3 linked regions of the Oryctolagus cuniculus genome follow. The protein of the gene in region 3 interacts with the protein of the main gene of each other region in a biochemical or structural test. Links are inferred from orthologs where the notes say so. Each region holds a gene or a part of one and is shown on either strand. Other genes may lie near its edges.

Evidence for each region. The genes of interacting proteins can lie anywhere in the genome.
Region 1: the proteins of MAVS (region 3) and IRF3 form a complex in vitro, tested with the Homo sapiens proteins (2 studies listed by BioGRID). The link is inferred for Oryctolagus cuniculus from reciprocal best matches to the Homo sapiens genes MAVS and IRF3.
Region 2: of the proteins of MAVS (region 3) and TRIM31, one has a biochemical effect on the other in vitro, tested with the Homo sapiens proteins (2 studies listed by BioGRID). The link is inferred for Oryctolagus cuniculus from reciprocal best matches to the Homo sapiens genes MAVS and TRIM31.

Annotation. Positions count from the first base shown.
Region 1 is NC_091449.1:7,838,163-7,842,437, reverse strand, and holds the start of IRF3 (interferon regulatory factor 3), read right to left. Parts: upstream 2,801-4,275; 5' UTR 2,685-2,800; coding exon 2,648-2,684; exon of another isoform or gene 2,353-2,647; intron 2,315-2,352; exon of another isoform or gene 2,171-2,314; coding exon of another isoform or gene 2,034-2,170; coding exon 1,861-2,033; intron 1,351-1,860; coding exon 1,182-1,350; intron 1,100-1,181; coding exon 1,047-1,099; intron 777-1,046; coding exon 497-776; intron 414-496; coding exon 33-413; intron 1-32. Other genes in the region: BCL2L12 (bcl-2-like protein 12), read left to right, coding at 3,410-3,516, 3,641-3,783.
Region 2 is NC_091436.1:140,344,601-140,348,602, forward strand, and holds the start of TRIM31 (E3 ubiquitin-protein ligase TRIM31), read left to right. Parts: upstream 1-1,202; 5' UTR 1,203-1,376; intron 1,377-4,002.
Region 3 is NC_091442.1:29,181,353-29,184,852, reverse strand, and holds part of MAVS (mitochondrial antiviral-signaling protein), read right to left. Parts: intron 2,370-3,500; 5' UTR 2,290-2,369; coding exon 2,173-2,289; intron 1,226-2,172; coding exon 1,051-1,225; intron 1-1,050.

The DNA.
Region 1 (4,275 bases), on a different chromosome or scaffold from region 3:
CCCGTGCTCGCCTCAGCCCGTCGCCCGCTCACCTGCCACGAAGGGCCCCAGCTCGAACACGCTTCCGTCCTGGTCCTTGGGGACCTCGCCGGCGGGCCCGTGCCCGCTGTTGGGGAGCAGCTCCTCCCCCACGGCCCAGTAGGTGTGGCAGTGCCCCAGCCGCCGGGCACAGAGCCGAGGCCCCAGCTGCCACAGGGCCAGTCCCCCCTCCAGGCTCTGGAGCACGCGTCGCACGTAGCAGCTCACGCTCCCGTCAGACAGGGCCGTCCCGGGGTCCGGCAGGGCAACCGGCTGCCCCGGCAGCGTCCTGGCTGCGGCTTCCGGGCCCACGAGCCGCAGGCCTCCTGGGCAGCAGATGGTCTGCTGGAAGACCTGGCGGCCCCGGTAGAAGGCGGTCACCTCGAACTCCCACTCTGCGGGGCGGCGTGAAGGGCGGGGAGAGAGTGAGGCCCGGAGCCCTGGCCGCGGCCCCTCCCGCCCCTCCGCGGGCACTTACGTTCCTCGGGCACCAGCAGCTGCCTCAGTGGGTTTTCAGGGGGTGCGGGGTGCGGGCAGGGGCCGGGGTGGTCCAGGTGAGGGCTCAGCAAGAGCTGAGGGCAGCACTCAGGGGCCACAGCCCCAGCCCAGGGCCCCTCGTCCGGGCCGGCCGCCAGGCCCATGTCGCCCAGGAGCTGCTCCAGCTCGTCTTCCTGGAGGGACAGACGGAGCTGGGCGCCGCGGCCCTTCCTGGGGACTTCAGCCACGCGGGGACCCCTCGGCCCTCCACGAGCTCCAGGCTGGGGGAGACGCAGCCGCGCCCCTGAGCGCCTGGCAGACGGGGGTCTCAGAGGGGGCGTGTCCCTGGCACAGCAGCAAGGGAGGGGGAGGGGGAGGGGTTGAGGTCTCAAGAGGCTGAGGGCGCCATTATCCGAGGAAAGCTATGAAATCCTGGCAGGGTGGGGTGGGCGCTCCGATGCCCGAGGCTGCCGGACAGCCACAGGGGGCTGGGAGCCGGGGGGGGGGGGGGTGAGGCCAGGCCAGGACGACGGGGAGGGGTGCATGCTCACCTGGCTCTCAGAGGTACTGTCCCCCTGAACTTCGGGAGAGATGTCCCCAGCTCCTGTTGAGAAAGGCGATGGTGGCGGAGGGGTGCTGGGCACCGGACATCCCGGCCCTCCGTGGGGAACCCTGCTCTGGCACACCTGAGGTCACAAACTCGTAGACCTTGTGCGGGTCGTGAGGGTCCTTGCTCCGGTCCTCAGCTAAACGCACCACTTCCTTCCGGTTTAGGGCGGACCGGAAGTTCCTCTTCCAGGTTGGCAGGTCGGGCCTATCCCCGGGAGTATAGGCGCCGCTGGCCTCTGCCCAGGCCTAGGGCACCAGCGGTGCCGGGACACCAGGGAGGAGGATGAGACCCTGCCCTGGGGTCCTCACTTCACACAAGGCTCGCCCCCACTGCAGCCTCTGGCGCCCGGGTTCCATCCCGATTCTCGGATTCCCCACGTGCCCAGCTTCCCTATAATCCAGCCTCACCCCTACACCCTGCCTGCAGCTGTCAAACCCACTGATTCCCACACCAGCCTTCCGGGCCCCGCTGGTGTCTCCCTGCCTCTGCGGGTCCCAGGACAGCCTCAGCTCCGCCCCCGACGCTGTGTATCCTAAGCTGGTGGTTAGGAACCCCAGCTTTGGCCACTCCCAGAATTCAACAATCAAAGCCAGACTCAGCCGGCACCAGAATGCGTTTCCTTGGGGCTCTGGCCCTGATAACTGGAACCGGGCCGCTCCCACACTGCCTGCTCCCCAGCACCAGCCCCCCCACACCCGTCGCCTTAGGAGCAGGTGCCACAGGGCCAAGCCCCTCCCAGCCGAGCACGCGCGCACCTGGAAGATGCCGAAGTCCTGCGGCTGCGCATCCTGCCGCAGCCCGTGCTTCCAAGGTATCCGGAAGCGCTTCCGGTGCTCGTCCACCCACGACACGCCCTCCAGCTGCCCCAGGTCCAGCTGCTGGATCAGCCAGGGCAGGATCCGCGGCTTCTGCGTCCCCATGCTCCCGCCTGCGCGGACAGGGAGGTTCCTGGGCGTGGGCCCTCTCCTGCCCTACCTGGCCCAGGACTTCCACACCCAGGCTCCCTCCACGGGTCGCAGCGTCCCGTAATCGCCTGGTGTACAAACAGGGGGCCTCCTCTCCCATCCTCCGGAAAGACTCCCTGATTCAGCGAGGATTCCAGCCCAGACACACTGTAGACACCCAGCCTCCACGCCCTCGCCTCGGCCAGTGTAGACCTCCCCCTTTTCCTGATCCAAAGCCGGCATCCCCGATTCCACCGCGCTGTGGGCCGCCTTCCACGGTTCCCCCACGAGGGAGCCCCCTACCCGTTTCCAGCGCCGATGCTCGGGCACGACCCCCCGCCCCCGCCAGCGCGCGCGCCCCTCTCCACTCTGGAATGAACTCTTCCGCGTTACGGTCGGGGCGCGCAGGGTGGACGCCCACCGGCCCTGGGCTCCGGGTAGCTCTCAAGCTCGAACTTGCGCAGCTTGTGTCCTGTCAGCTGAGCTTTAGCGCGCCGGGGCTGTCTTTCCTATCGATCTCTTGAAATAAAAGCAATTTCAACATCCTCTAGGTAACAAGTTCCAAAGCCAAAGAGGCCGCCTGCAGCCCAGAGCGTACCCGTCTCGCCCCTTTTCGGTCTTCCGGCCACAGGCATGCTGGGAACGTCATATGCAAATCAGGCGGCACTCAGCGCCCCGCCCCTTCCACGTTGGGGGCGGTTACCCAACCGGCCCAGTGCGCAGGCGCGGGAAAGTTGACCTACTAGAAAAGTTTGTGTGACTTGAGGGAGGCGGCTGCGGCAGCGGGGCGCTGGGCCAGGTGAGTGGGGTGTTGTCCTTGGCTGGGATAAAGTGTGAATCGGGCCGGGACCCTGGAGCGGTACCTCAGCGCCGCTTCTCCGATGTCCCAGGGCCGGGGGTCCCCAACGTGCCAGCGTGGTGGTCGGAACTACATCTCCCAGCAGGCTTCGTGGCAAACACTCCCTTCGCCCCGCGCTCGCCCTCTGCGGGGCCTGCTGGGATTGGTAGTTCCCGGTCCCTTAAGGACGGCTAAGCTTGGCATATGCTAACTTCAGCATGCACGAGAAAGCCCCCTTCCCCTCGCGGACCCCGGAGTCCGGGCCCCCAGCCCCCTCCTCCCTTGGATCTAGGAATCCCAGCCCCGGGCCCCTCCTTTTCCGGGATAAAGCAGTTGGTTCTCATCGCACTTTTCCCTCTGGGGGACTCAAGAGTTTGGGTCCCTCAACCCTGAACCCTCCCCGAGGCCCTCAGCGCCTTCCTCCCTTTGGGGCCCAGGACTCCTGGGCCTCTCTTCATTCAGGGACGGGGGGCTTGGGCCCCAGCCGCCAGCTCCTCAGCCTCCCCTCCCCCAGGTGCCTCCATGGCGGGCTCGGAGGAGCTGGGGCTCCGCGAGGACACGCTGAGGGTCCTGGCTGCCTTCCTCAGGAGGGGCGAGGCTGCCGAGGCCCCCAGCCCCACCCCTCCCAGGTAAGAGGGACCCCCTCTCGCTCTCAGTCCGTCTTTGTCCAGCGAGGGAGAGATCCTCAGTGGGCAGGAACGAGGGACTGTCCCCAGGGGCCCCCCGGGGTCACTCTGAGGTCCCCCTCCCCAGGAACCCCGCCCCGGAGGAGCCGACAGACTTCCTGAGCCGCCTCCGCAGATGTCTTCCGTGCCCCCTGGGGCGAGCAGCCGCCCCCCCTGAGTCCCCTCGGCCTTCCTCCCTGCCCCTCCGCCCCTGCTATGGCTCGGAGCCGGGTAAGCCCTTCCTGACCGCAGGCAGGATGCGGTCCTAGTGCCGGGTTCCGGCTCCGCCCCCCAGTTCTCCGGGTGGACAGCGGGAGCGATCGCGGCCCCCCTGCACCTCTCCCGGTCCACATGGGTCTCGCCCTGTTGGACTGTGCAGCCCCCAGCACCTCCGACAGGGAGGCCGGAGCCCTGGACGCTTTGGCTGCGCAGCCGTGTGACCGTTCCCTTCCTGGTCCAGTGCGGCAGAGGTGGTGCGCAGCCATCCACCTTGCGCCGGCGCGGCCGGCAGAGCTGTGGTCGGTGAGCCCGGACAGCTGGGCGACGCGTGCTGGGATCAGTCCGCAGGTCCCGAGGTGCCCGGGACGAGAAGGGCTTCCCATCTGGGAAGTTTTCTGGATTGTGGAATATTGGTACAAACGTTACTGGTGGCCCATCCACAATCTGGAATCTAAAACTACTCGGAATCCTTTTGAAACGTAACAGATTGACCGGAGGGCAGCT
Region 2 (4,002 bases), on a different chromosome or scaffold from region 3:
CTACACTGTAAACTATGAGCTCTGCAGCCATGTCCGTTGGTGAGACCCATCCTTGGCCCCAGCACTCAGCCTCCTCTCTGCCTGGATCTCCAGGGTGCAGTCAGTCAATCTGCCACACACACAACTACTGTGCAAGAAACAACTTAGAGAAACCAAAGAAAAGATGCTGTGCTCCATCTGATGATGCATTCTCCGAAAAGTGGGACATGAGCAGAGCAGGAACTCAAGATCTGAGACTCAGCAGAGACCTCGGGAGCTGCTAGCAAAGCCACAAGGTCTTGGTGGAAACCCCTGAATTCTCCCCAGTGGCGAGGAGGAAACAATTAGCTGACAATACTGCTACTTGCTCTCACTTGTGTGTGGAGCGTAAAACAGCTGAACTCATAGAAGCAGAGAGTAGAATGGTGGTTACCAGTGGCTAGGGAGGGAAATGGGTTAGGGAGATGTTGGTCAAATGATACAAAATTTCACTTAAGAGAAATTGATTCAAGATTTCTATCATACATCATAGTGATTCTAGGTTTATCTGTATTCTTAAAAATTGCTAAGGGGTGGATTCTACATGTTCTTACCATCTTAGAAGTAAATGAGCAAGAAAACAATTGGCCTGAAATGCATTGAGGCTACTACTCATTCACCAGATTGAAAAAGCATCCTTAGGGCCAGCACCATGGTGCAGTGGGTTAAAGCCCTGACCTGCAGTGCTGGCATCCCATATGGGCACTGGTTGGAGTCCCAGCTGTTCCACTTCTGATCCAGCTCTCTGCTATAGCCTGGGAAAGCAGTCCTTGGGGGACCTGAAAGAAACTCCTGGCTCCTGGCTTCATCCTGTCCAGCCTCAGCTGTTGTGGCCATTTGGGGAGTGAACCAGCGAATAGAAGACCTCTCTCTCTCTCTGTGTCTCTCTCTGAACTTTGTCTTTCAAACAAAAAAATAAAAAAGAGACTTCTTAATATTTGAGTGCTACCTGAAACCTGCTTCTGAGCAGCACAGCATGACAGACTGGCACAGAAGTTTTGGTTGCAGACTTAGAAAGGGATGGGTCCACCCCCCAAGTGGAGTGTGTGTGAACGGCTGACTTACTGTAAGTACTTAGCTGGACACACCTGTTTCAATAAAAGGTTAAGACTGCTCAACTAGCCACTTCCTTGTAATAGAAAAGAATCAAAACAAGCCAGCAAGTGCAGAGAGTGAGACACAGCCCAGAGGGAGGAGACTTCAGAGGTAATTGTGCTGCCCTTTCGGGATGTGAGAGTAAGACCTACCTTGAAGTTTGTGGCTTGACTGTCCCATTCCAAGGCCTTGAGACAGGACCTAACAATGCATTCCAACATCATACTATGAAAACACGTTGAATCATTTGTGGAGAGAGCAAAGTAAGTTTATTTTGGTGCAAAAATCTTTTTGAAATTCATGCGGTTTTTTTTTCATGATATTCACTTTCTTTGAACTTTGTGAAGTACCTGCATATTTTATGAATTTGTAAAAGTGATATTTTAATTCCAGTTAGGATTGCTGTCTCTATTTCAGTTTTCTCTACCACAGTATCCTTCTATCAGTGACATTTGGGGGATCGAGTTGAAGGGAAATTGAGTTGGGCTTACACTGTTTGGGTTTACTAAGTTATGTGGTTCAAAAGCACTTCCATATATAATCAAGTTATTGCTGTCTGTCTCAGTGTAGCAATGTCTTCTGGGAACACTGCTACCACCAAGACAACTCATTTGACATGAGACTGAAGTGCAAGGTTGGAGGACCTCCAGAATAAGAACATGTCCCATCATATGAGCTGCCAGAAGTATGTAGACAGTGAAGACAAGCTATCCTTTCAATCCTTAGATGCATAAAATTTAAGTCTAGGGTTCAGTCTCATCAATATCTAGTCAAAGTAGAAGTGCTTTTCTTCAGGAATATATTTGACAATACAACATATACAATTATACATATATCAAAAAATTAAATATTTACATGTTTCAACATGAATTCAGTAGAAGTTATCCTGATTTCAGACAGAGAATTAAAAGAATACAAACTTTTTAGTTTCAAGCAAAGGCGTTAATTTTTGGAGGGAAAAAAATGATTTTAATTATAAAAATAGATGCTTAGTTTTTTTCTAATCAATTGGTGAAGAATGAATTTTATAAAACATTGAAATTTTGAAATATTTCTGGTTAACTTGATATAAAATATTGATATCTACAAACATATTTTCATAGTGCATCTTTACAACAAGGTAGATGACCTTCAGTAATGTATTTAAGGTGAGTCACTGCTGTGAAAATTTGAAATGCCCTGAAATCTAAGGGGCACTTAAGAAGCTTTTAACACTAGCCAGTGCTATGGCAGAGAGCGTAAAGCCACCGCCTGCAGTGCTGGCATCCCTTACATTCATCAGTTCAAGTCCTTGCTGCTCCACTTCCAATTCGGCTCTCTGCTATGGCCTGGGAAAGTAGTAGAAGATGGCCCAAGTCGTTGGGCTCCTGCACCCCAATGGGAGATCCAAAAGACGCTCCTGGCTCCTGGCTTCTGGCTTCAGATAGTGTTGTGCCCAGATCATTAGATCCCCGCAGAGACCCCCAGAGAGTCGATCACACCGAACTGCAAGAGCAAGGTTTATTCGGGAGTACAAGCCACGACAGGGACCCCATCCAAGCAACTGGCACAGCGGAGGAAGGAGTGAGGCCCCGGTCTTTGTTTGGGAGAGTTTTTAAAGGAAAAAAGGGATACATCAGCAGGAAAAGAGTTACATACAGCACAGAAGCTTTGGGTTCAGGGAGTTACAGCCGGGGCTGACAGCACAGGAGCTCTGGGCGCAGGAAGTTACTTTGTTCAGCAATCTCTACTGTGCTGTCCTTGATCTACTGAGCTAGCTGTCCCTGGTAAGCTTTGATATCTCTGGGATGCCTGAATGCCTGCTTTCACAAGGACCTGGGTCTGCTATGGGAAACGGAGGCTGCTTTTTTTATTGTTTTAAAATGGAGTCACTTTGGCTCTTCATTCCCCTATTGATTTTGTGCATGTTTGAAGAACCCAATCATGGGTTTTGGACAGACATTTTATAGGTTTTACAAACATTGAAGGGTTTATATTGGGACCGTTGGACCATTAATTGAATGGTGCCCAATCTCTGTTTCATAAACTGTATAAGTTTGTTAACAATGGAAGGGCTGAAGGTTAAAATTAAAATCAGGAGAACAAGGGGCCCTATGAGTCCTGATAGTAGGGGGCTTGCCACGGAGAAGAATTGAACCAAGACTCAAACCACCCCTGAGAGGCCTCCTGTTCTCTTGTTTTGCCAGCCCTCCCTGACCTTAGCCAGTCATGTTATCTTTTATTAGGCCCGAGTGATGGGCATAAAAGCAGCATTCTTTCCCAGAGTGGTGCACAGCCCACCACATTGGTCCCAGAAATCCAAGAGGTGCAGAGGGATGACGATCCGTCTTCAGAGTCACCCCTGCTGTCGTGGAGCAATGAGGCACTCTTCACTGCCATGGGGCGATGTCTTAAGCCACTGTCTCCTGGGTGGGGAGCCGAGACATTCCTGTAGTAGCATTTGGTTGACCGCCTGGTTGCCGAAGGCCTTGGTTCACTCCATCACCAGCTGTAAACACTTAAACAGACACTGTAGTATAGAGACAGGGTGAGGATAAGGCAGATTCCAGCCAAAACTGGGAGAAAAGCCACTCATTAGTGTGGGAGAGGATTATCAGTACACACATGTTGGGAGTATAAGTGGCAATCCACTACAGAGAACAAAGAATTTACAGAAATTTTTACTGTTTAATTTCTGCTCTACTTTTATACACAGAATAATGACTAGTTATTTGTAGCATGTCTTTAACTTTTTAACTTTGTGCATTTACTTTTCCTCAACAAGGCAGAGCTGCTGTTGCTATTTGTAACTGAGACAGCAGTTGATACTTAATAGGAAACACTGCTCACAGAACTGTATTCCCTACTAGCCAAATTTACCTAATAATGAATTATTTTGATAATGGAGAG
Region 3 (3,500 bases):
TCACAGAAACGCATGTTATGGGAGCCAGCACTGTGGCATAGTGGGTAAAGTCACTGCATCCCATCTGGCCACTGGTTCGAGTCCTGGCTGCTGCTCCACTTCTGATTCAGGTCCCTGCTAATGCGCCTGGGAAGGTAGCAGAGAATGGCCCCAGTGCTTGGGCCCCTGAACCCATATGGGAGACCTGGAAGAAGCTCCTGGCTCCTGGTTTCAGTCTGGCCCTGCTCTGGCCATTGATGGCATTTGGGAAATGAACCAGCAGATGGAAGATCTCTCTCTCTCTCTGTCTCTCCCTTTCCCTCTGTAACTCTGCCTTTCAAAAGAAAAAAGAGAGAGAAAGAAAGAAAACAAAAGAGAGAAAGAAGGAAGGAAAGAAAAAATAAAAAAGAAAAGAGAGGGAGGGAAGGAGGGAGGGAGGGAGGAAGGAAGAAAGAAATGCATGCTATAAAAACTGCATGGATTTAATTTTTTTTGGGGGGGCACCAAGATAAACGTGTCTTTCAAACTGTTCTTTCCACGAGCTTCCTGAAGTCCCTTGGTATGAACAAGGCTGGTTCCCTCCCTCCCCCAGGCCCTCTCCTCTCCTGACCATGCCAAATGCCCCCAGCACCAGGGCCAGGAAGGGGCAGCGGAAGGGAGCTGAGAGGTAACGGAGCAGCCTGGGGTGAGGGCTAGAAGGCTTCCAGGGGGAGCAGGAGGAGGGGAAGTAAAGTGGAGAGAGGGAGGGCGGACACGTGGGTGTGGAGAGGAAGGAACCCGGAGGCCAGAAGCAGGCAGCAGGCAAAGAACACAGCCCGACAAATCAGAGGAGTCGGCCCCTTCGACACGCACCGTCCCGCAGAATCTGCCCAGTGCAGAAACTGCCATCAGCCCCATCTTACAGAGGGAAAGCCCAAGGCTCAGCCAGGCTCCACACTCGGGTTCACCCACAGATGGCAGGAGACGGGTGGGAGGGTGAGGACAAAGGCAGGAGGTACCAAGGAGGGAGAGGCGAGGGTAGAGAAGGCAGAGGAAGCAGGCAGGGTCTCGGGGCCAGGGCAGGACGCTCACGAGGCAGGTGGCGCTGATATTCGCCAGCCACTTGGTCAGCGAGCTCCGGCAGCTCGCAGGCCCTCAGGCCCCGGATGAAGGAATCCACCCAGCCGGTCCGCCGCTGCAGGCTGTTGAACAGGTCCCAGAGGGTGTCTCGGTTGCCCAGGCGCGTGTAGGAGGCCCGCAGCCGATCCTGGAAGACACAGCCCCGGAGTCGTGCTCAAGCCAGTTGTCGCTGGCTGCCTCTTCACCCAGCATGTGACAACTGCAGAGAGGGGCACCGAGAGACCCCAGTGGGGAGCAGCCATTGGACACTGGACCCTGGCCCAGGACAAAGCCAGGATCAGGGCCCTAGAACAGAATGAGGAAGAGCCATGAGCAGCAGCCAATAGCCAACGACCAACTGCAGCTGCCGGGAAGTGGACTCTGAGTGTCCTGTAATTAGCTCTCCTTTGCTGATGAGAAGCAAAATGTATTGCCTGCAAAAGCCCTGGGACCAGAAACCCCCCCCAGAGCAAAATGAAAACAAGCCACAAAACAGAAGCAAAACACAGAAAACGGTTGCTAAGCGATAAGGGATCTTCAAGATGCAACATACAAGAGGAAGGGGTCAAACCCCATCAGCCCTGAGACGCCTGAAGACAGGAGACCCCGAAAGAGAGCGCAGGGCTCCCATTGGAGACAGCAGCTGAAATGGGGAGGGGCGTTTTTCTCTGTGCTGGGTGCGGTTGGAACCATGGGGGCCCGTGGGGCAGGGTCCTGGGACGAGGAGAATGGAATCAAATCTGGGCAGGACAAGGACTAGAGGAAGGGAAGAGAGGGCTCCGAAGAACAGTGGGACCGGAGCCAGCCGAAGCACTACACGAAATCAAACACAAGAGGGAGCCGGGGAGGCTGGCAAAGCCAACCCCACCACACAGTGCGCCAAGTAGCAGGGACAAGAGGCGGCATACAGGGCCTGGGAAAAGTTTGCAGAAACATCAGAAAGACAAGTGTATGTAGGTGCAGGAAGGTTTGGAATCCACATGTGGGCGGTTTCCGAATATGCGTTTCCTAGGAATTTTTTGAAGACCCCTGGTCCACGAGGGGCAAGGAAGGAGCTGGCCCTGGCTGGGGTGAACCGGCGGGGGCTGGGCTCACCTGGTCATTTGCCGTAAGGCAGGGCAGGTAAGGCAGGATCTCTAGAACATCCACACGGCAGAAGCTGCTGTGGTGGTGGCAGATGTACTTGTAGGTCTTGTCCTCAGCAAACGTCATCGCCGCTCAAGTTCTGCAGACGGGGCCCTGGACTCGGCGAGCGCTATGGCCGAGCGCGATGGACTGAGAGACGGGGAAGACTGGAAGAGAGCAGAAGGCAAGGCCACGGGGCTGGGAGGGGCGGGGCAAAGGCATTTCTTTCCTGCTCAGCCTGCTGGAATTCTGCTTTTATCTTTCATCTTCAATTTCTTTCTTTCTTTTTTTTTATTTATTTGAAAGTCAGAGTTACACAGAGAGAGGAGAGACAGAGAGAGAGGTCTTCCATCCGCTGGTTCACTTCCCAAATGCCTTCAATGGCCAGAGTTGGGCCAGTCTGAAACCAGGAGCCAGGAGCTTCTTCCGGGTCTCCTACGTGGGTGCAAGGCCCCAAGGACTTGGGCCATCTTCTGCTGCTTTTCCAGGTCATAGCACAGAGCTAGACTGGAAGTGGAGCAGCCGGGACTAGAACCAGCGCCCATATGAGGTGCTGGCACTGCAGGCAGCGGCCTAACCTGCTACGCCACAGCACTGGCCCCTCAATTTCTTTAAATGTCCTAATTGCCTGGATCCTAGGGGCTCTCAAAGAATTTGCTCAACAATGAACTGAAGACCAAAAGGAGATGCAGGTGATGCAGGGCCCATGTCTGTCCTGTAGCTTGGTCGGTGCTGGAGCCTGTGCCCCTAGCACATGGAGGGGGTCTGCCTGTGCCCCTAGCACATGGAAGGGGGTCTGCCTGTACCCCCAGCACATGGGGGACGGGGCCCTGTCCATGACCCTGGCTCCCAAGTCTGTGAGTTGCTCCCAGCTCTAAGGCCCTTAGAACAATAGCAATAACTCCCCATCTTGAAGTACTGCTTCTTTGGGGTAGGTTGGGGGTGATGGTGGTGGAGGCCAATCTGATAGCAATAGGATCATCTAACTTTAAAGATGGAGAAAACGAGGTACCAAGAAGCCCAGGGGCTGCTGGACGTGGAAGAGCAAAGAGCCGGGACCCTCAGCACCAGGTTCTTTCCGGAACACAACTGTGGGCCGTGGCTGTAGCGTGCCGCGTGCCCATGCTTCCAGGGAGACTGCACCCCACCGCCCTGAGCTCGTGGGGGGACCCGGGACCCAGCATGCACCTCTTCCAAGATTCTTCCTCACCTTCAAATGGCTCCGCGAGCTTACTTTGACAGTCATCACTTGGCCCCACATGCTCACAGTTTTTAAAGTGCTTCTAATACAAGCCATT